4 linked regions of the Diceros bicornis minor genome follow. The protein of the gene in region 1 interacts with the protein of each later gene in a pairwise test. Links are inferred from orthologs where the notes say so. Each region holds a gene or a part of one and is shown in the gene's direction. Other genes may lie near its edges. The genes, in order: RUFY1, UTP25, RAB3IP and RAB39B.

Region 1 (7,286 bases):
AGTATAAAATGTGTACATGTAAGATAAAATTAGTTCAGCCCCAGGTGCTCTCAGCTGGTGGGCCAACTCACACCACCAATGAAGCCCTGAGGATCCCTCTCTGGATACTGCCTGTGGCTCAGGCATGTCACTGAACCCAGGGTACTGCATTACTCAGTTTCTAGCTCACACCAGGGAGAAAATGGGCACTCTGACACTGCAGCATGTGGACAAGACAACTCCTCCTGCAATGGGGAAGCCACGGGAGATCTGCAAGCAGGAAGGTGAAAGCACCAGCCCCGGGTCTTGGGAAGTCCTCGGGCTGAGGTGTCTAGAACAGAACAGAGGAAGTAAAGCCCTGACACACAAAGAGACCTCCTAGAAAGTGACTACAAACCAGGTGAGAATCCGTGCGGGCAGTGGCACTGGGTATAGAAGGGCAGGGCCATATTGGAGAGATAGGGTCCAAGAAACGTGGTGAGAATCCTCCAAAAGACTAGAAAGAAAAGTGAGACAGATGGGCAACAGACAGAGGGCAGAATCACCCTCAGGAGGCAGCAGGCAGCTGAAACCCAAGGCATAAGAAACAGGTCCTGAGTAGAGAGGAGGAAAAGGACTGGGGGACAAACCACACAGAAGGCATCCGTAAAAAAAGTCTGGGGTGGGAGGGAGGATTGGGCCACATGTTTGGAGGGGAGGGGCTTTTTAATTATTATAGAACGTTTCAAGCATGTGAAAATTACAAAAAATAACATAACAAATATGTTAAGGTACTTGAAATAATCACACACACTCTGTTCACCAAAACCCCTCTTACCAAGTTTTCTCCAGAGTTGATCTCATATAAAGTAAAAATTGAAAGAACTTAGAATTGCCACATTTGTTGCTGGGAGAATTAAGATAAATATGTGCAAACTCAATTGCCTACCCTATCAGGAATACATGTTTTATTTTATTTTATTACTTTTTTTAAGAACGGTTATATAGGTCTCATAGACTTTTTCTTTTCTTTTCTTTTTTTTCACTGCGGAAGATTCGCCCTGAGCTAACACCTGTTGCTAATCTTCCTCTCTTTTTTTCTTTTTTCCCTCCCCAAAGCCCCAGTATATGGTTGTTAATTCTAGTTGTAAGTCCTTCTAGCTCTTCTATGAGAGCCGCAGCAACAGCATGACTACTAAGAGGCAAGTGGTGTGGTTCCACACCCGGGAACCGAATCCAGGCCACCGAAATGGAGCGTGCCGAACTTTAACCACTAGGCCATCAGGGCTGGCTCAGGAATACTTATTGTACAATGCCCTATTCACTATTCTGAAATGAAATTCACAGATTATAAACCTACCAACACTCAAAATTTCAAAAAATTAATATAATGTCCTAACTGTAATATAAAAGATAAATAAATCTATAGTACGTATTTCAATATGTAAATGGGGCACAACTGTCACCAACTAGGTGTCCCAAGGAACTCAAGGGTGGGTTTGAAAGCATTTAACTGTTTTTCCAAGTTGTTTTTTTCCCTTTTGTTATGTTAAGGAGGTGTAACCACCAACCACCCTGAACCAGACCAAGCCTCACCACAAGAGCTACACCCAGGACCTTTGCCTCATTTGTAATGCTAAGATCTCTCCAGAGGAGTTTAGGCCTTATCACCACCACCTGCAGTGTATGTGGAAGCACGTTTTCCTACTGAGCCTGCAAAAGCTAATACCCACCTCTCCCTTTTGAATATTCATTCCCACCCGAAACAAAGGTCCCTGCTTGCCTTTGTTCGGGGAGCCTTGACTTTGGAAATGACTCCTCATGGCTTCCTATTTGCTGCAAATACACTTTACTTTGTGAGACAACTTCCACTGGTATAGAGTCTCATTTAACTTGCCAGGAGGTGAGCCCACTTGGTTCAGTAACACAACTACCAGGCACTGTCGCAATGTCTTAAACACCAGAAGCAGCATTGCTGTGGGTGGTATGGTTTTCTGAAATGGTTAATAGCTCTTAGGTTCTGAACAATCAATTTAGTTGCATTCTGGGAAAATTCAGGGTTCACTTATGGTAGTCCTTATACTGCTCACCAGTATTCCCAGTTCTCCTTTTCCTAGACAGTTGTAAGATTGGACTTGCTACCTCTCTTGAAGCTAGAGGTGGCCTGTGACTTGCTTTGGCCAATGAAATGTGTATAAAAGCAAAGTTTGTCACTTCAGGGATAGGGCTTTTAGTGTTGATGCAAAACTCTGCTCCCAGTGATGGAACCTCCCACAGCCTGGGTCCCAGAGTGAAGCATGACCAGAAACAAACTTTTCTTATGTTAAGCCACTGAGATTTGGGGGTTACTGCAGCATAAGCCAGCCTGATACGATATTAAAACTATTCAAAAAAAAAAGAGTTAATGTTTTTATGCAACATGGAATTAGGTTCCAGGCTCATTATAAACAAGCTTTTCACCCACATGAACGCCCAGTGGCATTGGAAAGTCCTAAAGGATACTGGACAACTGTTTGTTATTCCAGGCCACCTAACGCCCCTGTCCACCCCACTCCAGTAAGACGAGTAGCAGCCCCTCAATCATTGTGACAACTCAAACACCATCCCCACAAACACCCCAGGCACTCCCCATCCCCTTCCCCCCAGAGAAAACAACTGAGATTACAAGAACTTGTGAAGAGGGTGGACTAAGATGCCAGGAGAACCTGGGCTTCTAAAGGGGCAGCCATCAGGGAAATATACTCTGAGTTGCCAAAGCTTCCGATATTTCAAGAGAAGGCCAAAATCCAGACTTTTATATGAAATCTTTTGATTTCTAAATATCAGCAACAACTTAATTTTTTTTAATTTAAACGCTCTGGGATTCAAACAAAACAGTTCTCCTAGTTTCACAAGGCCCAAGTGCAGCACTTTGCAAACCAAGTGTCACTGTCACAGACTAATTGCCCCGAGGAACTCAAGTGTGGGTTCAGAAGCATTCAACTGTTCAAGAGATGCAATCACCAGCCACCCCTGAACCAGACCTAGCCCCACCACAAGAGCTACGCCTGTGACTTTTGCCTCATTCCCGCCCCCCCAAAGCCCCAGTAGATAGTCCTGTCATAGCTGCACATCCTTCTAGTTGCTGTATGTGGGCCGCAGCAACAGCATGGCAGGACAAGCGATGCCTTGGTGCGTGCCTGGGGTCCGAACCCACGCCGCCAGCAGCGGAGCGCGCGCACCCAACCGCTAAGCCATAGGCCTGCCCCCTTTGCCTCATTTTTGATGCTAAGATCTCCTCTCAGGCGTATCACCATAACCTGTAGCATATGTGGAAGCATGTTTTCCCTCTGAGCCCAGACAGGCAAATGTCCCTCTCTCTTTTGAATGTTTATTCCCCATCCAAAATAAAAGGTCCCTGCTTTCCTGTGCTTAGGGAGAGCCGCGACTTGTGAAATGATTCCACGATGCCTATCTGCTGCAAACAAGTTCCACTTTGTGTGACAAGTACTTCTGGTCAAGAGTCTGATTTTAACTCATCAGGAGGCGAACCCACTTTTCGGTTTGGTAACAAAAAGTGAAATTTGAGTTTCTATTTGGGCCAAGTCCCTTCTTTTCCAAGCTAGGAAACAGATTATGAGTAATTCCCTACAAGCGGATGGTGTCTTGCCCATGCCGCATAGCTGGGTGACAGAGAGTCATCACAATCGCTGACGTCCGCCACGTGCTCTGACTGCAAAATCCTATTTTACACCCCGACCTTCTGATGCCCCATCCACCACAGTGTGCTCTTTCCTGCCAGGCCATCGCATTTCCTTATTTAATTAAGAAGAAAAATCCTTCTTTCCTGCCTCGCCTGTCCCAGACTTTCCTTGCCAGCCCTTTTAGGGCTTGTTCTGAAGACTGCTGCAGAAAAATGACGAAGTAGGAAAAGTAAATCAAGAAATGAAATTTAAAAAGAGGAAACAGTGTCACAAAGACGACTGCGGCCATAGGAGCTGTGTCCCAGGCCAAGCCGGTGGGCCACTGTAACGGGACAAAGCCCAAGAGTAACTTCATAGAAACAAGTCCTCCAGGCTGGTGGGAACGCGCGTGTATGATCTGTACTTTCCTGAACCTTTTCAAATTGAAAGGAAGGAAAGCAGCGCTGTGAACAGGAAAAAGAACGTTGCCAACGGGAAAAAAAAAGAGCGCCACGGAGCTAAAGCGCCCGCCCGCCCGCGCCCAGTCCGCCCCCGGCTGCAGCCACGTGACGGGGCCAAGATGGCCGACGGGGAAGACGGCTGCCCGGCGGGGCGGGAGCGGGTGCCGGAGCTGGGGCCGGGGCCGGGAGAAGAGTTCGAGATCGTGGACCGGAGCCAGCTGCCTGGACCGGCAGAGCTGCGGAGCGCGGCGAGGCCGCGGGCGGCGGCGGAGGGGTGGTCGGCGCCCATCCTGACCCTGGCGCGCAAGGCCACAGGCAACCTGTCGGCGAGCTGCGGCAGCGCGCTGCGTGCGGCCGCGGGACTGGGCGGTGCTGACGGCGGCGCGGACGGTGCGGCGCGCGCAGGTAGGCTCCGACCGGGCGCGCGCGTGTTCTGCACGCGACCGCGGCCGTTTCGCAGGGGGAGCCGGGCTGGCAGGGGCGTGAGCTGCCTCAGCCGGTTGGAGAAGCTGCTGGCCACCTTGTCAGCACGCCTGACCGCTCGTCCTTTTTCTCTATCCTGTGCTGCCAGGCCAAGATGCAAACGTGGGGGTGGCTGCCCTGAGATTGGGGCGACTCTCGTACCTTATCCCTCCCTTCTGTGTTTCCCAGACAACATCCTTATTCTTAGTGGCGGGCTGTAGACTAAGAAAATTTACGAGTTTAAGCTTAGGTAGTCTGTATTAATTTCAGAAGTACTTAAGAAATGAATCCAGTACTGGTCTCTGCTTTAATCTCACAATGCCAGTCCGGCTCACACCTCCGGGGGTTAACCGCGCATCCCGCCTCAGCGCGGGGTCAGAGCACCCAGGCGGAGGTCGGGAGGTGCGGGTTCCGGGCGAGCCTCACCACCAACTCGCTGTGTGGTGCAGACAAGTCGCCACATTTCCCAGCCTGTAAAATTTATAATCCTCTTCAGCCCTTGTCATCAAGAATAGAGTTTCAGCATATCTGTGAGAAGAATGGAAACATTAACTGGTATGATATTAAGAGCGTGGCCTAGAAAGCCTTATAAAGCCGAGTTGTGCTGACCAATATAGTAGCCACTACCCACGTGTGATGTTTAAATGTTAAATTAAAATTAAAGATTCCGTTCTATCTTCATAGAAAGCGCTGTGGGGCAGAGCTGACTAGACTATAGTACTCTCTCAGAAGCATTATCATGTGCCTTTGCGGTTTCTCGATTCCCTGCTATTCACTGGTGAATTTGCTATAGAAGTCATCACTCAGGCCAGAATAGTGGATTGTGAGAATTTCGGTGGTTAAGAAATATTAATGAGTAGAGAAAAGTTTAAAAACTGGCTTGTTTTGAGATTCTGGCAATAGAAAGTAGGACTAGAAGGTAATGAGGAAGCCTGTTCAACCCAGGAATCTAGTTCCTACCAGCTCCCCACCTTTGCACGTGTCAGTGGATGTTTCATGGTATACCCACCCCAAGGAGGTCAGTTCTGAGAGTCAAAGCATGGGATCTTCTGGAGGCCCACAGCAAGGAAATTATAAATGTTAGATGTTCACTGATAAATAAAATGTGCCAGTGCCTAGAACAGTGCCTAACAGAATAATAATTGTTGAACAAATGCACATTCGAAAAATACTTGTTTTCCATTTATAGTAGTGCTATAAATAATAGCCAGCACTGATATTGCACTTACTAGGTGCCAGGTATTAGTCTTAGGTCTGTACATACGCTGATTCACTTAATCCTCACAGTAACCTTAGATGACTGCAGGACTGGCTTCATGTTGTGCAGTTCACGCAGGCTATGATCAGTGTGGTCGCCCAGGGCCAGGCACTCAGAAGTGCCCCACTTTTGAAATTCTTATTATCTGTGAATTTGTTTTGCAAGTGAAGTCCTATGGAACAAAGGAGCATGTGTGGAGGCCTTGGAGCTCATGTGTGGTGCCACCTTCCGCTGCCTCCCTGGGACAAGCTCTCAGCAGCCCTGGCCCACTCAGACTGCCCTGGGGCTTCTTCCTACCCCTCGCTGACCCCACTCTGTGACTACTCCTGGCCGGGGGAGGATTGAGATCACACCCTCTGAATCTCAGGGCAGGGCAAGGTGTCCACTGTCTTGCCCCAGGCTGGCACTGCCACAGCACATTAGGCAGGTAACTGGGCAGAGGCCTCTCGCCCACCCAACCAGGTACTGACTACCTTCCTGCAAAAAGTTGCAGTCCCTTAGGACTGTGGGAAGAGGAGATTGACTTCCAAGCTGGCCCCATGTTATAGGCACCATTATTATCCCCGTTCCATAAAGAGGGAAACTGAATTAAAGAGAAGTAACTTGACCAAGTTACTTAGAAGTGGCCGAGCCAGGACTTGAACCAAGACAGTATTCGTCTTGAGCCCATGCCCTTAGTCACAACACTTCAAAGCCTTGATGTCTTTAAATAACTTTATAAGCAAAATGCCATAATATATACCATATGGATTTTTTAATTAGTCAATTTAAAGAAAATATTAAATAACTGCCACTCAGATCTGGCAAAACTTGTGAACATGGCTTACTAAGGGCTGAAATGTAGGGAACCGCTGGGATGAGCTGTGTGGCTAGTCCCTGAAGGTAACCAGAATTTGAAGCCAGCAGTGGGAGAGGAGTGGGGATGGGAGTGGGAAAGGCTCTGCAGAGGCCTCAGAAAAACATGTCGGGAGAAGGAGCAGCCACCACTTCAGCTGGGGCCAGGACAGGGCCGGCTCTCATCTCTTTTCACTGACCTGCTTACACAAGCAGTGAGGACGGAGATTTTTCAGAGGGAGCAGTGAGGGTGCAGAGATGGTATGTGAGCAGCGCTCTTGCCAGATAAAATGTGTTTGGTGATAGACGTTTAAGGAAAATGCTGTGGAATGTTGTGTAATACTTTGATACTCATTTTAAGATATTATCCTCTGTGGGGTCTGGTAGCATAGCATGCCACGGTGATTGGTTCTCTGTGGTTGTCTGGTTTGGTTTGTTGTTGGTTTTTTTTTTTTGGAAATAAATGCAGGTGGTAAAAAAAAAAAGAAATCAAACCAAACCAAAAGGACATTTAGTGTAGAGGAACTCCTCCTTCCCAGAACCTGTCCCTAGTCCTATAGTATCTGTCAGAGAGCGTCTGTGCACAGAGCACACGGTCTCATCCCACCAGTTTCACACAAACCACAGGACAGACACACTAGGTTCTACATA
Region 2 (8,217 bases), on another chromosome or scaffold:
TGCTCAGAGGAGGCATCAGAAAGGAAGAATTAATAACCTTGTCACCCATACCAGACATCGTTGTGATTTCTCTCAAGTCCAAATCTGATCCCGTAACTCCCTTGCTTGAAATCTTCTAATGGCTCCTCACCTTATATGAGATCCGGCCTAACCTCCCCAGCGAGGCATGCAAGGACTTCCATGGACTGCCTCCTCACCTGCCTGCCTCTCCAACCTCTCGTCTCCCACCCGCCCATCCCAGCACATGGACCACTGTGCAGTTCTCCAAGCACATCTTTACTCCTTTGCTCCTGCTATTCTCTCTCCCTGGAAGGTTCTTTCCCTACTTGTTCAACCTTGACTCAGCACATCCTCTGTGCAGCTCCCCTCTCAGCAGAATGAGTTTCTTTATCCTCTGGGCTCCTAGAACCATCCTTCTAATACAGCTTCTAGCCCATGACAATGTAATTATTTGTTAATTGCTTTGTCTCTCCGACTAGACTATGAGATCTTCAAGGGAAAAGTCTGAGGTCTGAGCTTTTTAAATCCTTGATGCCTCACGTCATGCCTGGAACACAGTAACTGTTTGGTAAATGTTTGATAAGTTGAATGAATGTACGCCTGCTGAGCCTTTGTCAGGAAACATGAAAAATAGGGTGTAGTTATACTAATATTCCACGAGAGGGAGCATAGCATGTTAGGCTTGTTCTCAGATTAATATAATCTGATAAAATATTTCAGTTTTAGGCTAGACTCAACGTAAATCAGTCTTTGATAAACCCGAGGAAACATTTATTAAAGGTCACTATGAGCGAGGCTCTGGATTTGTCGATGAGTTCTTCTTATGGGTACAGATGAACAGAAAGGGTAGGAACTCCATAAAATGATATTTTACATTTCTGTGTTATGTAGAGTGTATTTCAGTGCGTTACAAAGTTTTTCTTTTCTCAGACATAATCTCCTTTTCTAAAATGTGCTCCACCTAGAAAGCTTATTGCTCCATACACAATAAATGCTGAGGAATCCGATGACTACACAGCTTTCTAATTTCCTGTTGTCCTATATCCCTCATATCCTGTCTTGAACACATACACATGCTGTTCTTGAAGTCAGCTGAAACAACGCATACAGCCTAAGATCTAGAATCTAGAGCAATTTTGAGTTCAATACTAATGTTCAATGAATGTGACTGATTGATAAATGCTCAACGGGGGATCCCCTCCTCCTCCCCCTAACCTCCCCCCCCTCGGCCCCAAAACGTGGTCCTCGCTGCTTCATTAGCATTCAGCATTTATCAGTTCAGCATTTATCACGGTGTATTGTAATCATCTGTGTACTCATCCACGCCTGGACAAGACTGCAGACTCCTTGAAGAGGCTGGCGTGGACCTTATTCTTTCTCCTAGCCTCAGCTGCTAGCATAGCACCGGGCACACCAGGTGTTTAGTAAATATTTTTTTGAATAAATAAATAAGCTTATTTCACGATAAGGGTAGTGAGAGACTGATTTCTGCCAGCACTCTTAGGGAGAGGCTGGATTGCTTCGGAATGTACATAGACGCATGTGTATACATGTGGAGGAGCTGGTCTCCTATGGAGGAAACTGTCTGATTTAAGGCCTCTAGGAGGAGACAGATGCGTGGGCGCACACACACCTTCCCCAGAATCTTTCCAAATCAGTAGCTGAGGTGATTGAACTTTCACCATTACAGAGTCATACCCTTGGATCACCTATGGCTCCCCGTCAACATATCTTGAATCCATGTGCCCTCGTTATCACATGTTATCCCATAAGTTCCAAAACTCAAACATCTCCAGTATGATCTGTATTCTCAAGGCGTGCTTGGACCCCTCTCTGTTGAGAATCTCAGCTAGACCTCTGCTTACTTTCTGTAGTTTGCATTAGAAAGTGGTTTGTTTGTCTTTTCAAATACAAAGCTATATATCAAATAAGCTTTTTCAAACCATATACACCATAATGTTTGCAAGGGATTAAAACACATCAATTTGTACAACTCTGTGAGTTCATAATCATACTAAAAATAAAAAACGAAGAGTTGATTAGTCACAATTGGAAGATCTAGTGAATTGATTGTATTGAAAATTAGTAAATGAAGGGAGAGAATCAAGTATTTATTCTGCTTTTCCTATACAAACTGTACCACTGGGTAACCAAAATTTAGATAAGGGAGAAGTTTGTCTTTATAGGAATAGTCCCTCAAGTAAGTGAAGAAGAAATGATGGAATTAGAATATCACCCCCTATGATAGAATTAGAATGCAACGTCTAATGAATTAACAAATTTAGACATTGAGCACCAATGGCTGGTACCATCACAAAATCAAAGACAACCAGACATCATACGCCTCCTGATGGAAGTATAAAATACCAACTGTAATCAAGTCTGATCAAAGTTCTAGATCCAACAACCTACTCACGAGAAATATAGAGAACAGCAGAACATGTTAAACCAACAAAGTACTAAAAAAAAAGACAACATTTATGAGACAATCAGAAACTTAAACACTGACTGGATATATGATAATATTAAATAATTATTGTCACTTGTTTTGGTGAAATATTGCCATAGTGGCTATGTTAAAGAAAGAACCCTTGGGGCTGGCCCCGAGAACACTTATCTTTTAAAAATGCATACTAAAATGTTTACAGATGAAATAATATAATGCCTGGGATTTGCTTCAAAAATAATGCAGAGGGGGTCAGAGGCAGTGGGTGGGCATATATATGAAACAAGATGGCCTTGTTGATAACTGTTGAGGCTGAGTAATGGGCACACGGGAGTGCATTATACCATTTTGTCTACTTTTGTATATACTTGAAATTTTCCAAAGGTTTTTTCTTTTAAATTATTAACACCTCCCTGAGTATTCTGATATTCTTGTCCTAAGGGACAGCCATCCCTCTTCTACCCCTTGAAATTATTATCCTAGGGAGTCTCCTGGGAATTGCGAATACCCTGGGAAAGGTAACTTAATTCATTAACATCTCTTTATGAACTAGTATAAAGGATTATTTCTTTATACTGCGTACCTGAGGGTAGAGGTAAAAGAAAACCTTGGAGAAGGGAAAAGGAAGGGCTGAGGGTGGGAAGAAGAAAGAAGAACAAATTTTGCCTTCATTATAATTTTCCCAGAGCCTTTACTAGTTGGCACTTACATCTTCTTTGCGAGGGCTTTACTAAGAGAACTTTCACTGGAGGCATGAAAAAATGTTTAAATTCTGGATTCTTAGGTTAAAATTTCAGAGTCCCCCTTCTTGTTGTCAATGGTAATATAAATATTTTCAGGAGAAGAGGGGCTGGCTCCCTTTCCATTGCTCAGTGAGCCAGTGATGAGACCACTTGGGTGGGGCGAGGGCACATTTTTGCCTGAACCTGGGAACAGTCTAGACCTGTCCATCCACATGACTACAAGGATGTGGAAACCAGGAGAGAGTAAGGAGTCACCTCAAGTGCTCAAGAGTGTAGCTTTTTATAGAAGCTCTCTGGAAGAACACCAAGAAACTGGTTGCCTCTGGGGAAGGAAGCTGGGGAAGTTGGCATAGGGTGGGAGGAGAAAAAAAGAGTTTGACTCTTTATCGTTATAGCCAGGTTATACTGTGGTTAGCGCCTTAAAATATATGATGACATTTTGCAAACAGCCTTTTGTTGACATAAGTGACTGTACATTCTATCTTCAAATTAGAAGACAGATGTCTGTTTGTTTATGGGTTCCTTGGCTGGGCCAGCTGCTGGCACCACCTGCTGTTTGCATATTTTCTTGACACTCCCTCTACCTGCCCTCCCTACCCCACCCCAGCCCCCCAGAATCTAATGAGGAGTAGATGGCCACTAGAACTGACAAGAATAGAATCCTAGTAGTTCTAATACAGCTTCTACAAGTGAGACATGGGCAAAGCTCAACTTTTCCCACAGAAGCACTCCGAATAGCAGAGCCAAGTGAACACTGTCTTTGATGGCTCCTGTGGAAACATTCAGGTGAAATTTGCGGTCTATGATATAGCACTATGTTTTAGTCAAGGATTTGTTTTTATAGAACATGACATGATAAGTTACTGGTAGGAAAGAAGAATCTCGCTGTGTTTATCCAGTGGTCTCAAGTAGCCCTGCTCACTCTGCCTGCCCCTGGAGTACTGAGTCCAGTTTTGTTTTGCTGTGTTGTCCTCTTTGTTTATTGAGGTTATTATTTACATACATTAGAATTTACCAATTTTAAACGGACAGTTTGATGCCTTTCGTAATTGTATACAAGGCGTAACCACCACCACCACGATCAAGATATAGAATGGTTACTCCGCCTTAAAAAGTTTTCCCGTCCCCCCTTTGCCCGAGTTCAGTTTTGAGACACTTGATTGAGTTTTACGGCTTTCTCTAACATCGACTCTCTGGATGATTGTAGGAAAGTCGCTTTACCTCTCTCGATGTGTTTTTGCTCTTGTAACATGAAGAATGTAGGCACAGATGTGTTTCTAGGGGCTCTTCCAACACTTTCAGGAGATGAGGGGGTGGGACGAGGGTGGGAATCTCAGCCTGGCGTCCCCATTCTTGATCTAGCATACGTATGTGGCAGACCCTGGTGGGTGAAAGCCTGTGGTGGATCAGACAGACTTAGGTTTCCATCTTCTCTCTTGCTCGTGTGTCATCTTTTCTAAGCATCAGTTTCCTCATCTGCAATATCAGGCTTATTAACAAGACCTATTTGTGCACCGTTGTGAGGATGAAGTGAGGGGTGGGGGCACCCTTAAACATTGGTTGGTCTTTTTATTATGGTATAATATAAAGTCACTGCATCCAACCATCTCCTCTAATACACGTTTACGCAGGCTGAGTCCCATAACCAAAACAGAAGCACAAACCACGCTCACCTATCCACACATCCGGCAGCCCAGCCTGACTGACGTTCCATGACTCAGAACAAATGCGCATGCGTGCGTTTGCTTCCAAAGAGCCTCGCTAGGGGGCAGAATCGGAATCAGGAAGTTTTAACGCCTGTCGTACAAGCGCGACGTAAAGCTGGTCTGCTTTATGGCAACCTGCTTCCGCCGTAAAGCGCCGTCGGTGAGCCCACGTGAGTGGATTGACAGGACAGCTTCCTGGTGGGAAGCGCGGTGTTTGACGGTGGGCGAACTTGACGTTTTCGCTATGGGCAAACGCGGGAGCCGGAGCCAGAGCCAGCTGCTCAACACCCTGACTAAAAAGCAGAAGAAGCATCTTCGGGATTTCGGCGAGGAGCATCCCTTCTATGACAAGTATGGAGGCGCATAGCTGGGGCCAGCGCTGCCAGCGTCTTTTCCCAGTGGGATCCGGCGTTTCCGGTTTTGGCCCGCCGGTCTCCCATGGGACAGTGACGGGGCTGCTCCCGTCTCTTCCCACGCTTCCCTGGCGCCCGCCGTGCTCGGCGTGGAGCCTGGCGGGTGCTCGGCTGGGGAGGATTCTGGCGGCATCCCGCCTGGAGACGGGGTTCTTCTCGGGTCTTCTTACCTTTTGTTGAGCCCCCGACTTTATGCTAGACGACACGCCCACTGTGTGGGGGCTGGGTTTTCTATGGTGAGAGGTTTTCTAAGATTGTTTTTGTTTTTTGTGTTTTTAAAGAATTGCTGGGTACCCTCGACATCACCGATCTGTCCAATTACAATGAGCAAACTGATGTGTCGGTAGTTGTGGGTTCCTCTGTAAGTGTCCAGACTCTCGGTTGTAATCTTAGTGCTCGTCTCAGCACTTTAGGCCGCTTTATCAGCAGTTAGCGGGACACTCTAATTAAGAAATTTGTCAGAAAAGGTGAACCCTGAGAGCTTTTGTTTGTCGGATTTATCTATCTATTGGATAAGAGCCAGTTATTGTGTGACTCGTACTTGTCATGTGACCTCGTTAAACTTTTCATTTGTCAATTAACTATTTGTCATATTCTTAGAATCCCTGTTCAAGTGCATATGTAGTTTTTACATGACTATAGTTAGAATGTATTTATAATGGTATATTCCGCCTTTTTCACTTAAAGTTGTGTCATTAGACTTTTTCCTAATTGCTACATACTTGTAGATAAAGTTTAACATTACCTGTTTCTTCTCAGGGTTTCCAGAAAAGAAGCAAAACCACAGATTTGTCAACTGGTAATGCTTTATATCTTCTTTATAATAGTCGGTTCTGGGTTGTTACTTTTAAGGTTATATATAATAAGAAAGTTTAGCGACATTTCCACTCTTTCTGATTTTAGACGTAAGCTATTATTTTAGTAATATTGCTTAGCTTTGAATGCAGATGTCTGTTAAAATGCCCTTGTGATAACTAATACAGTAACCAGAGTTTGAAACTGTCTTGAGGGATAAGCTTGTTAGAACCTGCTAAGGAGGCTTACCAGAGGGCTCTTGGTGAATCCTAACAGGGAATATCTTGTTTGCTTAACATAAAAGGAGCCGCAAATAGAGTGCAAAATGAACAAAGGTCCTGTCCCATTACAACAAACTCAAAACAATGACATTCCTTTGTTGTATTGTCATTTTCCCATTGCTGCTTTAAACGTACCAAATGTCTGACACAGGGGTTAAATCTCCTTATAACCTAAAGCTCTACGTTTTTAGTCAGCTTTCTTCCCATGTGGAACATTAGCAGTTCAAAGAAAATGAAGAGCTTCTAGAATCATAGCTAGATTAGCTATTTTAAATAAATTTGGTGCTGGGCTTGGTTGAATAGATAGGATTGCATATTTGCAGAAAAGCTCATTTTTATTTAGGAAAGTCTGAACCTCTTACGCTGTTGGTCTGATGATAGTCATAGGGTAGCAAGGAGAATAATATAGTTTTTGTTTTTAAAATTTGCATTTTCCTTTTAGTCAGAGAGTTCAGATACTTCAAGTTCTGAAAGTGAAGCAGAAAGTGAAGCAGAACAAGTTTCTGGGTACCACAAACTACTCGCCACATTAAAGAATGTTTCTGAGGAAGATGAGGAGGACGAGGAGGAGGAAGAAGAAGAAGAAGACAGTGTTGTAGATGAGGCAGAAATGGAAGATGAAGATGGAGATAGTGATGTCAGTGTGGAAGAAGAGACAGCAGCAGAGTCTCCTGACATGCAGGAGAGTAAGTGTGTTTGGTGTGGGTTCATCATCTTTGCCTGAACCTTAGATTGCCCCATGAGTCCAGTATCCTGTACCGTGTGAGTTGAGTGAAAGCACGTGGATCCAAGCAGAGGCTCTTTTATTTATTTATTTATTTTTAAGTTTTTTTTTTTTATTTGTGAGGAAGATCAGCCCTGAGCTGACATCCATGCTAATCCTCCTCTTTTTGCTGAGGAAGACTGGCTCTGAGCTAACATCTATTGCCAATCCTCCTCCTTTTTTTTTTCCCCAAAGCCCCAGTAGATAGTTGTATGTCATAGTTGCACATCCTGCTAGTTGCTGTATGTGGGAAGCGGCCTCAGCATGGCCGGAGAAGCGGTGCGTCGGTGCCCGCCCGGGATCCGAACCCGGGCCGCCAGTAGCGGAGCGTGCGCTCTTAACCGTTAAGCCACGGGGCTGGCCCTAAGCAGAGATTCTTAACTTTGTTGTTGGGTTCAATGATATCTTTGAGAATGGGACGAAAAGACGGGACCCTCTTGCCACACAAATGTAGAAATAACATTTTTGCCTATCATTTCCAGGACTTCATCAATTCTAGTTAAAGTTCCGCTAATTGGGAGGAAAGAGAACATAATTTTGTTTCTGTGACGATCTCAATTTATTAAAGAGATTACTGTTCCTCCTTTAGAGAAACAAAGTTTAATGGAAGATAGACATAAAATATACAAAAATTTTCAAGCAGCAGATTTGTATTGAACAGCGAGGTATAAGGTGTTGAAGAGATGCCCAGTGGTCACACACTGCTGGGCTAAATGAGGGAAGGCTCCAGAGGTTGGGATTGGAAGCTTAAAGGAGCTCTATCTCACACTTCTAGGTGACGTTTTTCTTTAACTTTAAAATCTACTTTATTGAGGTACGATTTACATACAATAAAGTGTACCCATTTTAAATGTGCAGTTCGATGAGTTTTGACAAATGTATACATCTATGTTATATCAAGATACAGAACATTTCCAATACCTCCAAAAATTCATATAAATGGAAATGTACGGTATGTACCCTTTTGTGTCTGGCTTCTTTGGCTCCTCATGTTTCTGTGATTCATCCATGTTGTTTGTGTATTAGTAATCCATTACTTTTTATAGCTGGGGTAGTATTCCATTGTCAGT
Region 3 (8,005 bases), on another chromosome or scaffold:
AATACTATGTATGACAAAGGTAGACGATACTGTTTTTAAAGCTTGGAATTATCATTGACACCTTCCTCACCATTATTTCTGTCTATTCAGTTGCTACTGGCAGCAAACCCAACACAAACTGGCTTAAGCAAAGGGAAAACTCTGGCTCATGTAACTAAAAAGTTCAGAGTCTCCAACTTCAGTCACAGCTTGATCCAGGAAATCCAGTAATGTCAGCAGGACTCACACTTGGTTTTCTTATCTCTCAGATCTGCCTTCTCCCTGTTAGGTGGCAAGATGGCTACCAGCAGCTTCAGGGTCACATTCAAATTTCTCAAGAATCCTCATAAAGATTCACTTTTCCCAGCGATTTCCCAAAAGACCCAGAATTGCTTCTTATTGGCTCTGCTTGAATCATTTGCTTATCACAAGCCAACCACAGAGACCAGGAGGATTCTCTGGATGGTTATGCCTGGGTCACAGGCTCACCCCTGAAGCAGGAGGAATTCAGTTCCACTTGAATCATACTGACTGAACATGGTGGGAGGGCAGGTCCCCGAATAAAATCACTGTGGTGATCTCAAGAAGGTATAAGGGATGCAAAGAATAAAAAAAAAAAAGAGGGAGAGAGAGAGGACACGGAATCAGCTGTTGCCTGCCACATACCCACCCTTGGAGACGTTTCCCCTGCCCTGTTTCATTGTGGTAAAGGCACTCCTGTCTCGTGCGAGCCTCCTGTCTGACTCCTTCCCTCTGGTCAGCCCCTCCAGTGGGCACTGCCACCACGTCCCTCCTCCTCAAGCACTGTCACAGTCATTTCACTCTCCAGCTCAAAGTCTTCTGGGGGTTCACCTCTGACGACCAGATCCCACAGCCTCCCTCTGGCGTCTATGATCTTCCAGTCTGCTCCCACTCTCTTCCCTGGCTTCTCTGTCTGCCTGCGCTCACTCATTCCACGTGCCCACTGCTCTGCATCGCTCACCATCACTGAGCGCCTCGAGTGTTTCCTTACAAGCCTTTGCTTGGTTTCTATGTTCTACCCCATCACCACTTCCCTCTTCCTGGGTCTAATCTCGTGGTGACCAGGGACTGCCCGTTGTCTCCAGTATCTGTTCTTCCCTTCTTCTTTGGTTTCAGAACCATTGACTTTTAGCTGGGCCTACGGCCACACAGTCGAGACTACGTGTTTCAACATCGCTTATAGTTAAGTCCTGACTAACAAGGTGAAAGTGTAGGATGTAGACAACTTCTGCAGTGTCCTCACAAAGAGTGGTGTGTTCTTTTCTGCCCCCACCTCCTTTCTGCTGGCTGGAACAAGGACGTGGTGCTGGAGCTTCAGCAGCCATCACGGACCATAAAGCAGAAGCTGCATGTTTAGGACGGTGAAGCCACATGATAGAAGGAGGCTGAGTCCGTGTTGATAAGAGAGCCACCATACCGACCCTGGACTGCCCGCACTTACCTGAGAGGAACAAGTTTTATTTTACGTAAGCTACTGTTATTTTGAGTTTTTAACTGCTACAGGAACCAATCCCTCCATGAAAATACATTGTTCAGGATAATTTTCTGGTGGTCAGTAGCAGGAATCCATTCAAAATCGAAGCAAAGTGGGGGAATTATTTTAAGGATTCAAGGATTTCTCACAGAACCTCTGGGCAGGGATGAAGGAAGCCTCAGGAATAGACTGGAACCTGGGACTGAAACACTGCGGGGAAGCCAGAAGGCCCTCCCATTGTGTCTCATCTCTCCTCTCTTCCCTCTTACCGCTGATTATTTATGGACCTGGCACAGAGAAGCAGTGAATAAGTCTCTGTTTAATGGACGGCAACGGGTGCATCTGTGAGGTTTGCTGGGTCAGCAGCCAATTACCCAAACATTTCCTTATACATACGTAGCTTGTTCCAGGGACTCTTCTGAAGGGAACTGTACTTTTTAGAGTCCATGCTCTTCTGTTAACCCTTTCTCTCAACCCTCCGATTTTTTCAGGTGCTTATTCCAACATCGGAAAAACGGCCTGAAATGCAGCATTGTCCAAATGGATCTAATGAAAGACAGAGACAGCTCTGCTTTTATACAGGAGTTGCAGAGGCCAATTTTTATGGGAATACAAGCACTGGCCCACAAATAACTGTTTTGCTAGAGAGGGAAATGATAGATTATTTTTGGTACATGTTTCCCTATAACCAGCTTTTAAATTTTTTTTTTTTTTTTGCATTTTGCATTGTTATTATTTACTGTCTGGGTTTCTGCTTTTATGTAGTTTTTGCCCTTGAGGGTTTCTTTTGTTCTTGTCAGCTTATTAACATGTTTGATAAGATATTTGATATATTTTTTCCAGCACTTTGAGCTTTTGGTGGGAGAATCAGCCAGTCTCTAGTCAGCCACACCGCTGGGCAGGGAAGTCCAGTATGCTTTTTAAAGAGTTTTAACTCCATTTGTGTGTAAGGTATTACCCTACATTCTGAAGACCAGGGATCTGTGGTCCACAGTCCCCATCTGTAAAGACGAAGACTAACTACCTTTCCACCTGTGTCAAATTGGTTTTTGTAAAGGACTCATGAGGTAACTAATGTGAAGTCAGTTTGAAACTGGAAAGTACCATGTAAACATACAACATTTTCTGCACTTTGAAAACAAAACAGAGGAAAACAAGCAATTAAAGTTATAACTAAGGACAACAACCTTAGAAAGATTCGTTCAACTTTAAATTTCTAGATATTTGCACTCATCTCCTTTGTTTTCTGGCCCCAGGTATGGATGGGAAAGTTTTAAGATTTTTTAAAAATAGAATATTATTCTATATGTTGTATTTGACATTAATTATACAATTTATTTTTTAATTAAAGAGAAAGAATGCAAACGAGCACACTACAAAATCTGTCATCACGTTTTTAAAGTTTGTTAAGTGTCCATCCCTTTAACACACGGGAGAGCAATCTGATGTAGGATGCTCACAACACTTGATACATTTCACAGGCTGAGGTGCTGACATTCTGTGAGGTATCTTGGTCTCCGTGATGCAAGGACACTGGAGTGTTATCATAGGAAACTACTCACACAGCTCTTTTCATCCTCAACCTCTGCCAGCAGGTTAAGTATGTGAGAGGAAACACCACTGAGTTCATTCCAAAGAGCCTGGTTGGTGGCAGGTGATTGCAAACAGACCAGCATGGGACTCAGGCATATGGCTACTGCTTACTCTTTCCTATAGATGCAGGACGTCTTAGGTCCTATGTGGAACATGTCATAGGGCCTGTCCTCTCAACATTTATAGACCAAGACAGTGCATCTGCATATATGTCGTCCACTCAACTGCATGTACTTGAGACAGTCCTACTATACGTCAGATCTTGAGCCTAGTCTCAAGAAGCTCATAGTAACTAGGAATATAGAAAAACTACAATTACTTTTCTATGTGACAAGTGCTAGAAGGAGATAAGGCGCTATGGGAGCACAGGTAAGGGCACCTAACCCATATTGGGTGGGGTAGGGCTGGGTGGCAGCAACAGGGAAGGGTTCACAGTGGCGGTGATGCCTGAGCTGATACTGAAGCATAAGGAGGAATCAGCTAGGAAATGAAAAGGTGGAGAGTCAGGAGGTGACAAGAAAACCAGCAGCATACCTAAAGATGGGATGGATGAGGGAGGATGGCAAGACCAGAGAACCCAAGTAGTTTGCTGCATGTTGAGTTTACCCACTCCACTGGTTATTGACGTGCCTGTCTCCCTACATTTGAGTGCTTGTGGTGTAGATCATGTGTAATGGTTTCTCTGTCCCCAGACCCAGCAGTAGGCACGTTGATGGGGCGCAGTGAATGTCTGATGGATGAATGGCATCATCATGACATGATGTGAATGACAGGGTGGAAGAGAGAAACACTGGGAGTCCATCAATGAGGAAGGTCCTGTCTAGTGGCAGTGAATACCAGATGGGATAGATTCAAGAACTATTTGGGAATTAGAATGGATATGACTTGTGATATTGGAGATGGAGTATAAAAGTAAACAATGACTTTGCAGGTTTCTCTTTGGATTATAGGTGGATGACAACAGTAACACTGTTATTAATAATAATAGCTAATATTCATTAGGCACTCTGTCATGCAGTACACTGTTTCACGTGCATTAAACCATTTAATCTCTCACTGACACAACCAGGTAGGTACTCTTACCATCCCTCTTTACTGATGAGGAAATTGGGACAATTAGAGATCAGTCACCCAGAGTCACACAGCTAGTAGGCAGCAGATTCAGCCCCAGGAATTCTGACTCCTACAGCCGCACATGCCACCTACTCTGCTTTATTGCCTCTAGCAGACGTGATCAAGATACACATGATGGTCCTGTTCAATGGGTATCACAAATTGCACGTCTCTCTTTTACTGAACATAGACACACCCTGCGATCGCCTCTTTTTGATGAGATTTTGGGAGCTTGGTTCTCTGTATTCTCACTTTTCCTCCCTGGAGGACCTAGAATGGGGTGGAAGTTTGACAAGAGTTGACACACAAGATGAGAGAAGGCAGGTACAGAAATGACGTTCTCGAATGTGCTAGCAGCCGCTGGAATGTTGGGGTCTGGGTTCTATTCGATTCCCCACCCCCGACGGACGCGAGTCTCAGTTGGTTCTATCAGTCCTCAACTCACATCGAACGTTCCCGTCCCGACTCCGGACGAGCCCCCCACGCTCGGAGCGAACCGAGGCCGCCCGCGCCGGCGAACCAGCTGCGCGCCGGCTCCGGGGCCCCCGCCCGCGCACCTGCGCCCCGCCGCGCCCGCCAAGAACCCGCCGGGCGCCAGGGGGCGCCGGAGCGCGCGGTCCCCTCGGGCCCCGCCCCTCGCCCCTCGCCTTCCGTCCGCCGGGACGGGCGCTCGCGCGCTTGGCCCCGCCCCGCCCCGCAGGCCCCCGCGGCCCCGCCCGGCCCCGGCGCAGGCGCAGTCCGGGCCGCGGCCCCCGCGCAGCGCGCCCGGCGGGCGGGGTGGAGCGGCGTGCCCGCGTCCTCCCGCCCTCTCGCGGCCCCGGGCGCGGCGGCGGCTCTGCGGGCGCTTGAGCGGGCGGCGGCCGCCGGCCTTGGTGAGGTGAGCCGGCGGCGGGAGGGCGGGAGGGCGGCCGGCGGCTCGCGGCGCGGCCGAGGCGGGCCCGGGACCTGCGCGGGCGTGGGGGTCTGAGTTCCCGCTCGGGCCGGGGCCTGCGGCCGCCGCGGGCTCGGGGCGCGTCCAGCCGGCGGGCTCCGGAGTCGGGACGCGCCGCGCGGCGGACGCGGTCATAGCCCGGCGGCCCCGCCCGGGCCGGACGCCGCAGGTGCGGCGGCAGGTGCGGCGGGGGCGGGGGCGGGGCCGGGGCCGCCGTCCCGGAGCCGGGCGCCCCGTGGTCTCCCGGAGCGATTACATAAGTGCCGAGAGGCCGGTAAGAGGATTAAAACAAAACTGCTCTGCTGGAAATCTGCCGAGACCCGCTGTGTGTTCTCTATCCTCGTTCTTATTTTGTTGTACGTGCAGTTTTTTGGAAAAGAAAAGGTGAACGACAAATGGAGGAGAAAAGAGGCGGAATGGATCTGTAGACCCATCGTAGTCAATATTTGATACTGTTAAATATTCCACCGGTTTTTATGGGGCCTTGTTCTGGTAAATTTGTTATTTATTTACCAGTACTGTGCGTTTTGATAGGACTTTTCGTGTTCCGACAGACATTGTATCATCCCAGATACGGTTTATGCGATCTAGTCCTAAAGCCCTTGTGGAATTTATAGAAATGAACAGCAGTTACACAGTGTTACTACAATGGTGCATGTCTTACTATTAGAAGAAAAGCCTTTTAATTTTTTTCTTTTTCCACTACAGTCAAGTTATGTATTAGTGCACACCCTTGTGAACCAAAGTGGATACATTTAATGGAACTCTTCCTTGTGTGTTTGGCACGCAACTCATCTGTGGCATCGAATGCCTCTAACCTGTCCAGGATGGATGTTTGATGTTCAGCTGCCTGGGGGTTTCTGATTAGTGGGGTTTCTAATTAGATCCAGGTGTACCTTTTGAATTAGTGTAGTTATGCATATACTTCCTTTAATATTTTTTTCTCTAATTTTTCCTAAACCCTCATCCCCCAACACACACAGACGTTCCACAAATAATTCTTAAAGTTGAAAGATTCTTAGAAATCTAGGTCCCCATCACTTTTCAATCTGGCAGAACAAGAGCTTGCAGGTACAGTAGTTTTACATGTATTATGGTGGTTACTTCTTGAGCAGCACTCATTGAACCAATTAGTTTAAGCTGGCCAAGTGGCCTGGGGGTTTCATTCATTGAGCATCTTCTCTGCAAGTCACGGTGGGGGTTAAAGGAGAGTGTTCCCAAGGGGTCTGGGAGGTGGGCCACATAATCATGCCCATGTCTTCTGTAAGTTCTTCAAGATTTAGAAGGCACTTTTCACATGTACATGTATGTATAGTAGTACTTTTAGTGAGTGCCGACTAAGCCAGTGCTGGAATGGTTGGGAGTGCGGAGGAAGGCCGAGCAGCGGTTAAGACATTTGTGTGATGAGGGAAAGCTCTGAGGATCTTCTTAGGGAGTATACTTGTTCCGACGAAACCTTTGTCCAGTATAGTTCTGTTTAAGACACAGTTCAACAAAGGGTAGTAAATTGGTTACTAAGTTAATTATTTAAATACACTTGATTTCCTAAAAGTAAAATATTTGAGCTTTTGAAAACTCTCTTCTAGCTCGTTTCTCCTTTTCTGTACTGCTGTCCTTATCTGTGCCAGGTACATTTTTTTTCCTTTAATGCTTCCAAAGCACCAAGTACCTGCCTCTGTTTTGGTGCTCATTGGTTTTGATATTTACAGTGTAGTTGTAAATGTGTGTTGACAAGGAGGTCCCTTCCTCCAGTGTACTTGTGCTCTGAGGGCAGGGTTCAAGTCCTCACCTGGGGTCAGAGGCTTAGTGTTGGGCCTGGAACCTGGGAGGTGCTGTGTTTGGGGATACAGGGTCAGTGGAAGAATGTTGGGGTGTGTTGGAATTGATCCAGCAGTAGAAATGGGAATGAGTGCTCAGAGTGAGAATTGAAGGGACTGAGGGGGAGAGGGATACCTAGAGAAGGTAGCGTTGATTGCTAGCTCTGTTTTTCCCTTCTTTCTCTTTCAGCTTACAACTACATGAGGTCGTTGCATAAGCTTAAGTTGTATGTATTCAGCGTTAGGGAAAAATGAGAAAGTAATCTTGATTTATCTTAGGGTATCAGCAGCACTAGATTAAATAGCTTTAGCCGTAAGCTAAGATTACTTAGATCAGAGGAAAAAGAATGAAAATTATTGAAATAGTTCAAATTTATGAGAGATTTGTTGCTTGTCGTTAACAACAGGGTTGTAAATGTGAGCATCATGGAAGTTGATGAAATTCTACATAAAGGATATGAAATGACAGTCTAGTACTGTAAGGGAACTTGGTTCGAGAGAGAGGGGCCTAGAAGCATCAAGGAGCGTGCAGATGATAGCTTAGAACAAATTAAATGAGTGAATTGTAATTTGGTGTGTCTAGAGAAGAGTAATGGTATTGAGTATTTGTCTTGTGGCACCTGTTGACAGAAAGGGATTACACTGAAAGAACAACCAGAGCGAGTCTGGAAACAGTAAGTAAGTGTTTTAATTAATTTCCTGTTGGGAAGAGCATTATGTTTGAACTCAGAGAAGTGGGTGACGTGCCCAAGTTCACACAGCCGGCAGTGACTGAGCCAGAGGGAAGGCTCTGAGGCTGGTTGGGTGAGATGCTCAGGTCTCCCCAGACTTGAATGACTGTTTTTCCAATCTTGGTGCTCCCTCAGGGTGCTTACTGTTTTCTCTCTTTTTTTCAACAAAGGCAGCTGGACTCACTCTCTCCGCTCTTCACTGCTTTGCTGCTCATTCCCTCTAAAGCCTCTCATTGCTTGTTTCTTTACCCAGTCGCTGTGCGCCTCATTGCCCACTGAACGCTCAGGTGACACACGTTCTTGCCTGTACAAGACAAGGAGGCTTCCACTGTTCAGAAAAAGAAAC
Region 4 (7,473 bases), on another chromosome or scaffold:
CAAGAAAGTATGATTCATACATTGGGAAAAAAAGTAAGCAACACAAACTGCCTGTGATAGCAAGCAGATGTCAGATCTACCAGAAAAGGATTTCAAAGTAGTCATTACAAATATGTTCACAGAACTAAAGGAAAGCATGGTTAAAGAAGTAAAAATAGATATGATGACAATGTCACATCAAATATAGATTATCAATAAAGAGAAAGGAATTATTTTTTTTACAAAAGAACCAAAGGGAAATTCTGGAGTTTAAAAGTGCAACTGAAATAAATAATTTACTACAGGTGCTCAATAGTAGATTTCAACTGGAAAAAGCAACAATTAGTGAATTTGAAGATAGTTCAATAGAGATTAGGCAAGCTGAAAATCAGAGAGAAAAAGAATGAAGAAAAGTGAACAGAACCTCAGAGAAATGTGGGACACCATCAAGTGCATCAACATAGGCATAATGAGAGTACCAGAAGGAGAGGAAAGAGAGAAAAGACTAGAAAAAATGTCCAAAGAAATAATGTCAGAAAACTTCCTAAATTTATTGAAAAACAATAACCTATACATCCAGGAAACTCAATGAACTGCAAGTAGGATAAACATAAAGAGATTCACAAACAGACACATCACAGTAAAAATGCTGAAAGTCAAAGAGAAAATCTTGAATGCAACAAGAAAAAAATGACTCATCACTTAAAAGGGAACACCAATAAGATTAATAGCCAACTTCTCAAAATAAATAATGCAGTGGGATAACATAGTCAGAGTGATGAAAAAAAAAACTGTCAACCAAGAATCATATATCCAGCAAGGCTATCTTTCAAAAAATGAAAGCAAATAAAGACATTCCAAAGTAAGCAAATAAGAACTGAGTGAATTTGTTGCTAGCAGACCCACCTTACAAGAAATACTGAAGCAAGTTCTTCAAACTGAAAGCAAGTGACCTCAGATGGCAGTTCAAACACACACACACACACACACACACACACACAAAACAGAGAGCACTCGTAAAGGTAATTATGTAATTATAAAAGACTGCATAAATGTATACTTCTCTCCTCTTTTTCCTTAACTGATTTAAAAAACAATTGTATAAAATAATATGTATATGGTGTACAGTTGGGTCTATAACATATAGGAATGTTATGTATTTGCCAAAAGCAGCACATAAGAGGTGGATGGGAGTCAAGCTATATTGCTAAGGAAATGACTACAGATGGTAAAGCAATAATTATAACAATGTATTGTTGGTTTTATAAAATTAATGGACATTACAAAATTAAAATAGGTCTAACAATAATATCACTAAACGTGAGAGAAGGAATAGAGCTATATAGAAGTATGTTTCTATATATCATATATTATATATACATATATATTCCATATATGTGGAATTAATCTGGTATACACCTGAAGGTGATTCTGATAAGATGTATTTGGTAAACTCTAGAGCAACTATTTAAAAAATAGGTAAAAAATATAGTGAAAAAATCATTAAAGAGATTAAAATGCTACGTTAGAAAATATTCACTTAATGCAAAAAAAGTCATAAAGAAGGAATAGAGGAACAAAAAATAAGATATATAAAAAAGGAAAAAGTAAAATGGCAGATGTAAATCCAACCTTATAAATGATAACAATAATAACAATTCAATAAAAGAGCACAGATTGTGAGATTGGATAAAAAAATGATACAACTATAAGCTGTCTACAGGCAACACACTTAAGATTCCATAATACACATTGATTGAAAGTAAAAATTTGGAAAAAGTTATATCATGAAAACAGCAACCACAAGAAAGCTGAAGTGGCTATACTAATATCAGACAAAATAGACTTCAAAACAAAAGAAAGTTACTAGAGATAAAGAGGGACATTTCATAATGATAAAAGGGTCAATCCATCATGAAGATACAGCATTTACAAACATATATGCATCTAACAACAGAGCTCCAAAATATATGGGGCAAAAGTTGATAGAATTGAAATGAGGAGTAGTTCTACAATAATAGTTGAAGACTTTATACTCCACTTCCAATAATGGATAGGAGAACTATACAGAAGATCAACAAGGAAAGTTAAGACCTGGGCAACACTAAAAACCAACTACACCTAACACATATATATAGAATACTCTACCCAACAACAGAATATACATTTTTGTCAAGTGCACATGGAGCATTCTCCAGAAAAGATCATATGTTATGCCATAAAAGGAACCTCAAGAAATTTAAAAGGATACTAACAATGCAAAGCATGTTCTCTGATCACATGGAATGAAATTAGAAATCAATGGCATGAAAAAAATGTGGGAAACTCACAAATATATAGAAATTAAACAAAACACTCCTAAATAACAGATGGATCAAAGAAGAAATCAAAAGAGAAATCATAAAATACTTTGAGATTAATGAAAATGAAGATATAAGATACCAAAACTTATGGGGTGCAGATAAAGCAGTGCTCAGAGGGAAATTTAAAGCTGTAAATGCCTATATTAAAAAAAAGAAAGGAAGATCTCAAATCAATAACCTAAGCTTACACCTTAAAAATCTGGAAAAAGATGAGCAAACTAAAAGTAAATCAAGCAGAAGGAGGAAAATAATAAAGATTAGAGCAGAGATAAATGAAATGGAAAGTAAATAAAAAATAGAATCAATGAAACCAAAAATTGGTTCTTTGAAAAGATCAACAAAATTGACAAACCTTTAGCTAGATTTACCAAGGAAAAAAAAGAGAAAAGACTCAAATTACTAGAATCAGAAATGAAAGAGGGGGCATTACTACTGACTTTAGAAAATCAAAAAGGATTATAAACGAATACTATGAATAATTGTATGCCAACAAATTGGATAACTTAGATGAAATGGAGAAATTGCTACCAAGATACAAACTACTGAAACTGACTTAAGAAGAAATAGACAATCTGAATAGACCTATAACAAGTGAAGAGATTGGATTAGTAATCAAAACACTACTTATGGTAAGTGAAAGAAGGCAGTTACAAAAGTCCACATATTGTATGATTCCATTTTTATGAAATGTCTAGAACAGGGAAATCTATAGAGACAGAAAGGAGATTATTGTTGCGTAGGTCTCGAGGTTGAGGGGAAAAGAGGCATGACTATAAATGGATACAGGATTTCTTTTTGGGGTGATGAAAATGTTCTAAAAGTGATTGTGGTGATGGTTGCACAACTCTGCGACTATACTAAAAACCATTGAATCGTACACTTTAAATGAGCGAACTGTATGGTATGTGAATTATATATCAATAAAGCTGTTTTAAAAATAATTGAATAAGGCAATGATAAAGGATTACATATAAAAAAAATACAAAGGATTTGAAGAGGCAATTCCCAGAAGAGGAAATGCAAATGGTCAATGCAATGAGACACCTTTTTATTTAACTACATCAGATTGGCAAGAATTAAGAATATGATATATGATGCTTGGAATAATGGAAAGAAATGGTCTTTTCCCACATTGCTGACTAGAATTTAAATTGCTAAATATTTTTTCAAAGTATAGTGCCCGTATGTTTTACATTTAAAATACGCATACTCTTTGATTATCTGGTCCCTCCTGTAAGACTTTATCTCATAGAAATAATGTGTGACTATACTTAGAATCTTTATTGTAGCATTGTTATGGCAAAAGGAAAATGAGTTGGAAATGCAGAGATGTCTATGATTCTTTAACTGCAAAAAGCAAGTGTCAGAGTAATGGTCCAATCTGATCCAATTTTTGTAAAATCAAACAGCAATAAATGTGTATAAATACACGTGGAAGAAAATATACCAAGCTATTAATACCTTGGGGAGGGAGGGGGGCATATAATTATGGAGTTTCCTTTTTATGTACATTTTTATATTGTTTCACTAGTTTTAAAGAAAAGGTATTACTTTTTGTTTTTTTTGCTGAGGAAGATTGTCCCTGAGCTAACATCTGTGCCCATCCTCCTCTATTTTGGTATATGGGATCCTGCCACAGCATGGCATAAGCGGTGCAGGTCCGCGCCTGGTTCAGGGCCTGCGAACCCCGGGCCGCTGAAGCGGAGCGCCGGGACTTAACCACTATGCCACCTGCCGGGCCCCCTTACTGTGGCAATTTGAAAGATAAAGAAAATTTGTAATTAAGAAGAGGGGTTGGGTGGAGGAATTAGAAATAAAGGGAACAGAGCTGTTTTCGTGGCCGTTTTTGTGTGCGCTCCTCTTAGAGACAGTGCGGCGGACCCTGGCGTAGCGTCTACTCGGGCGATTACAGTAACCTGGTTGTCAGTGATGAGTCAGAGTGCGCGGTGCTGATGCTGCTGCCATTTCATCACCCCTGCGAGCACAGCATCCATCCCTCCGTTCTCCCTGCGCCTGGGCCTACCTCGCCTCGGGCTCCCAGGCCAGCGATGCGCTCGCGGCCGATCTAGATCCGGATCGAGCTGCGCTCTCCGAGTCCTCGGCGGAGCGGCCCCTCTCGCCGCCCACGGCCCAGGCCAAGGAGACCTGCCGAGCCCCGGCCATGGAGGCCATTTGGCTGTACCAGTTCCGGCTCATTGTCATCGGGGATTCCACGGTGGGCAAGTCCTGTCTGATCCGCCGCTTCACCGAGGGCCGCTTTGCCCAGGTTTCGGACCCCACCGTCGGGGTGGATTTTTTCTCCCGTCTGGTGGAGATCGAGCCAGGAAAACGCATCAAGCTCCAGATCTGGGATACCGCGGGTCAAGAGAGGTTCAGGTGGGAGCGCAGTCCGGGCCCGCGAGCAGTGGGAGGGTCTTCAGGGCTTGCACAGTCCCTGGGGAAAAAGGACTTCCTGGTCCTGGTCGCGGCCAGTAGGGACGATACCAAGGGTCTGGGGGTTTCTGCTCAAGCCCACCTTCAGCTAGCTGAAGTGCAGGGAAAGAAGCGCCCTGGCAGGGAAGGCCCGTCTATAGTACGTATTGCTTGCACCACTACTCCACCAACCTGCCCCTTGGTGGCTAATAAACTAGCTGGAATTGATTACTGTAATTCATCAATCTCAGTGCCTATGCTACATTCTTTTAAAAATGTTCCCGGGTCATCCTGACATAACTGTCACATATAGATAGATAGGCGATATAGAGATAGATACAGGTATAGATATATTATATCCATATGAAATAGATACTGATGATTGACTTCATCTTGCAACCAGCTCACATTCAGTGATCATCCGCTACGTGCAAGACACTGGGCTTGTTTCTGAGGAAAAAGCCTGAGGAAACTCACACAAGGGGATGCCATGTAAACAAAACAGACACAGGCCCTTCCCTCTTACAACTTCTCTGCTAGCATAGTAGGGGGAAATAGATAATGAGCAATTACACAAAGGAGTGTCTTGTTCATATTTGTATGCCCACTCCCTACTATAATGCTTAGCACATAATGAGTAATCAATGAACAGGTTTAATTTTCTCTTACAACGCTTTGCTTTTCCTTTGTAGTATGTATTGTTTGTAATTATATGTATGAACACAGAGGAGGGTAGGCTTCCTGGAGAAGATGAGGCCAGATGAGTATGACTACCCAAGAAAGACAGGAAAAGCCCAGAGAGAGGAAATACCATGTAGAAAGACAGAAGTGCGAGAGAGCAGTGTACACACAAAACTTTGAGAGAGCAATTTGGGTTAAAGTCATGTGGTGTAGCAAGAACTAGATCAAAATGACTCAGTAGCCCATATTTATGATCATTTATTTATTTATCTATTGAACACTAATTCAGCATAGAAGATACTGGTTAGGTAGTTGAAGAGGAGTAGGGAGAAGAGATAATTACAAACTTAAGTTGTCTCCAACTCCCTACCTTCACAAACAACACTTTGACAAATATCCTTGTACAGGTTCACTTTGAACTTGTCATTGCATTTCTCATATTATAAGTGAAGAAAGGTGTCTTTTACATGTTTATTGGAATTTCTGTATGAACAGCCTTTTCATATCCACTACTTATTTATTGGATGATATTCATTTGTAAGAGTTCTTTATAGATTAATAATATTAATTATTTTCTGTCATGTATGTTGTAAAATATTTTCCCAGTTTGTCATTTGTTTGTTAACTTTGTTTAAGAAACATTTTTAATGTAAAGAAGGTTTTAATTTTTATGTAGCCTTATGTTTTGCTTAGAAAGGGCTTGGTTGCTTTCTAAATACTCACAAACCATTAATGTAATAATGTATTTTAGAGTTCTGACAGGGGTCTACAGCTTGCTTATTGATTTCTTAAACCAAGCTGTTCATAAATCAAAAGCTCTGTTTGTTCATGTCAAATTTTCTGGTACACCTACCATTCTCCATGAATCTTCAAACATAAGGGAATTAGAAATGCTTTCAGTCTCCAGGGCTGATTTGCCTGGTCCTGGAGACTTGAACTCACTTGTAAGGTTTGCTGTTATCATCATGTAGCTTGGACTTTAATTCACTGGACAATGTTTTTTTTTTTTGTGAGGAAGATCAGCCCTGAGCTAACATCCATGCTAATCCTCCTCTTTTTGCTGAGGAAGACTGGCCCTGAGCTAACATCTATTGCCAATCCTCCTCCTTTTTTTTTCCCCCCCAAAGCCCCAGTAGATAGTTGTATGTCATAGCTGCACATCCTTCTAGTTGCTGTATGTGGGACACGGCCTCAGCATGGCCGGAGAAGCGGTTCGTCAGTGCACGCCTGGGATCCGAACCTGGGCCACCAGTAGCGGAGCGCGCACACTTAACCACTAAGCCACGGGGCCTGCCCTCCCTGGACAATGTTTGTTCTGTTATCATTTGGCTATTTGCCCTAAGTCTTAAGCTATTGAGTCCCTCATTGTTTATCTTCTTCATCCAAGGAGATCGAAAACCTAAAAATAGACATAGATCAAAAAGCACAGTCATCTAAAACAAGTGATTGTAGAAGCAAATAGTTGTACACCTTCTAATAAGCTCTAATACACTCTAAGCAAAGTACCATAATGTATATTGATAATGAAGCTCCTCAAATCAAGAAGTTAAAATATATGAGGTTTCTTCTGTTTAAGAAGTACAGCAAATGTATAATAGGATTTAGAAATATTCTAATTACAATCCTTTAAATAAATCATGTCATTTCAAAGGGAAACTTTGGGTATTTAGGCAGTTTTTGCCAGCTGGGGGCTCCTGAGTCAGCCTCTCTGAAATGTGTCAGGAAGTAGGGCTGACAGGCACTTTGCTCAAGGCCTTTGCAGATCATCCCTCTTTTTCCCATTCCCACATGGCCTGAAAAGTAAAAAAAATTGTGTTTCTCTTCACAGAAGAGATTGAGGACCCCTGTTGGATTATTAGAATAATAATAATAACAATAGAAAGACAAACATGGTAATGATAAGTGGAGTATATTGCAATATACCTATATATTTATAAGCATTTTCTGTCAATGATCATAAATTCATTTTTATTTTTTAAAAAATCCTGTTTCAACTACTAGAATTTGTGATGAGCTCTCCTGGTCACAGAACACTATA

What was found.
Region 2: the proteins of RUFY1 (region 1) and UTP25 interact in binary tests that used the Homo sapiens proteins (3 or more experiments, as listed by UniProt). The link is inferred for Diceros bicornis minor from reciprocal best matches to the Homo sapiens genes RUFY1 and UTP25.
Region 3: the proteins of RUFY1 (region 1) and RAB3IP interact in binary tests that used the Homo sapiens proteins (3 or more experiments, as listed by UniProt). The two-hybrid records come from large-scale screens. The link is inferred for Diceros bicornis minor from reciprocal best matches to the Homo sapiens genes RUFY1 and RAB3IP.
Region 4: the proteins of RUFY1 (region 1) and RAB39B interact in binary tests that used the Homo sapiens proteins (3 or more experiments, as listed by UniProt). The two-hybrid records come from large-scale screens. The link is inferred for Diceros bicornis minor from reciprocal best matches to the Homo sapiens genes RUFY1 and RAB39B.

What each region holds. Positions count from the first base shown.
Region 1 is NC_080740.1:92,537,070-92,544,355, forward strand, and holds the start of RUFY1 (RUN and FYVE domain-containing protein 1), read left to right. Parts: upstream 1-4,200; coding exon 4,201-4,486; intron 4,487-7,286. UniProt on the Homo sapiens protein: Activating adapter involved in cargo sorting from early/recycling endosomes. Regulates retrieval of proteins from endosomes to the trans-Golgi network through interaction with the dynein-dynactin complex.
Region 2 is NC_080743.1:75,865,774-75,873,990, forward strand, and holds the start of UTP25 (U3 small nucleolar RNA-associated protein 25 homolog), read left to right. Parts: upstream 1-5,055; 5' UTR 5,056-5,139; coding exon 5,140-5,246; intron 5,247-5,285; exon of another isoform or gene 5,286-5,500; coding exon of another isoform or gene 5,501-5,544; intron 5,545-6,067; coding exon 6,068-6,107; intron 6,108-6,826; coding exon 6,827-7,070; intron 7,071-8,217. UniProt on the Homo sapiens protein: Component of the ribosomal small subunit processome for the biogenesis of ribosomes, functions in pre-ribosomal RNA (pre-rRNA) processing. Essential for embryonic development in part through the regulation of p53 pathway.
Region 3 is NC_080756.1:1,618,010-1,626,014, reverse strand, and holds the start of RAB3IP (rab-3A-interacting protein), read left to right. Parts: upstream 1-4,980; 5' UTR 4,981-5,057; intron 5,058-5,364; exon of another isoform or gene 5,365-5,385; intron 5,386-8,005. UniProt on the Homo sapiens protein: Guanine nucleotide exchange factor (GEF) which may activate RAB8A and RAB8B. Promotes the exchange of GDP to GTP, converting inactive GDP-bound Rab proteins into their active GTP-bound form.
Region 4 is NC_080781.1:138,747,550-138,755,022, forward strand, and holds the start of RAB39B (ras-related protein Rab-39B), read left to right. Parts: upstream 1-4,325; 5' UTR 4,326-4,503; coding exon 4,504-4,718; intron 4,719-7,473. UniProt on the Homo sapiens protein: The small GTPases Rab are key regulators of intracellular membrane trafficking, from the formation of transport vesicles to their fusion with membranes.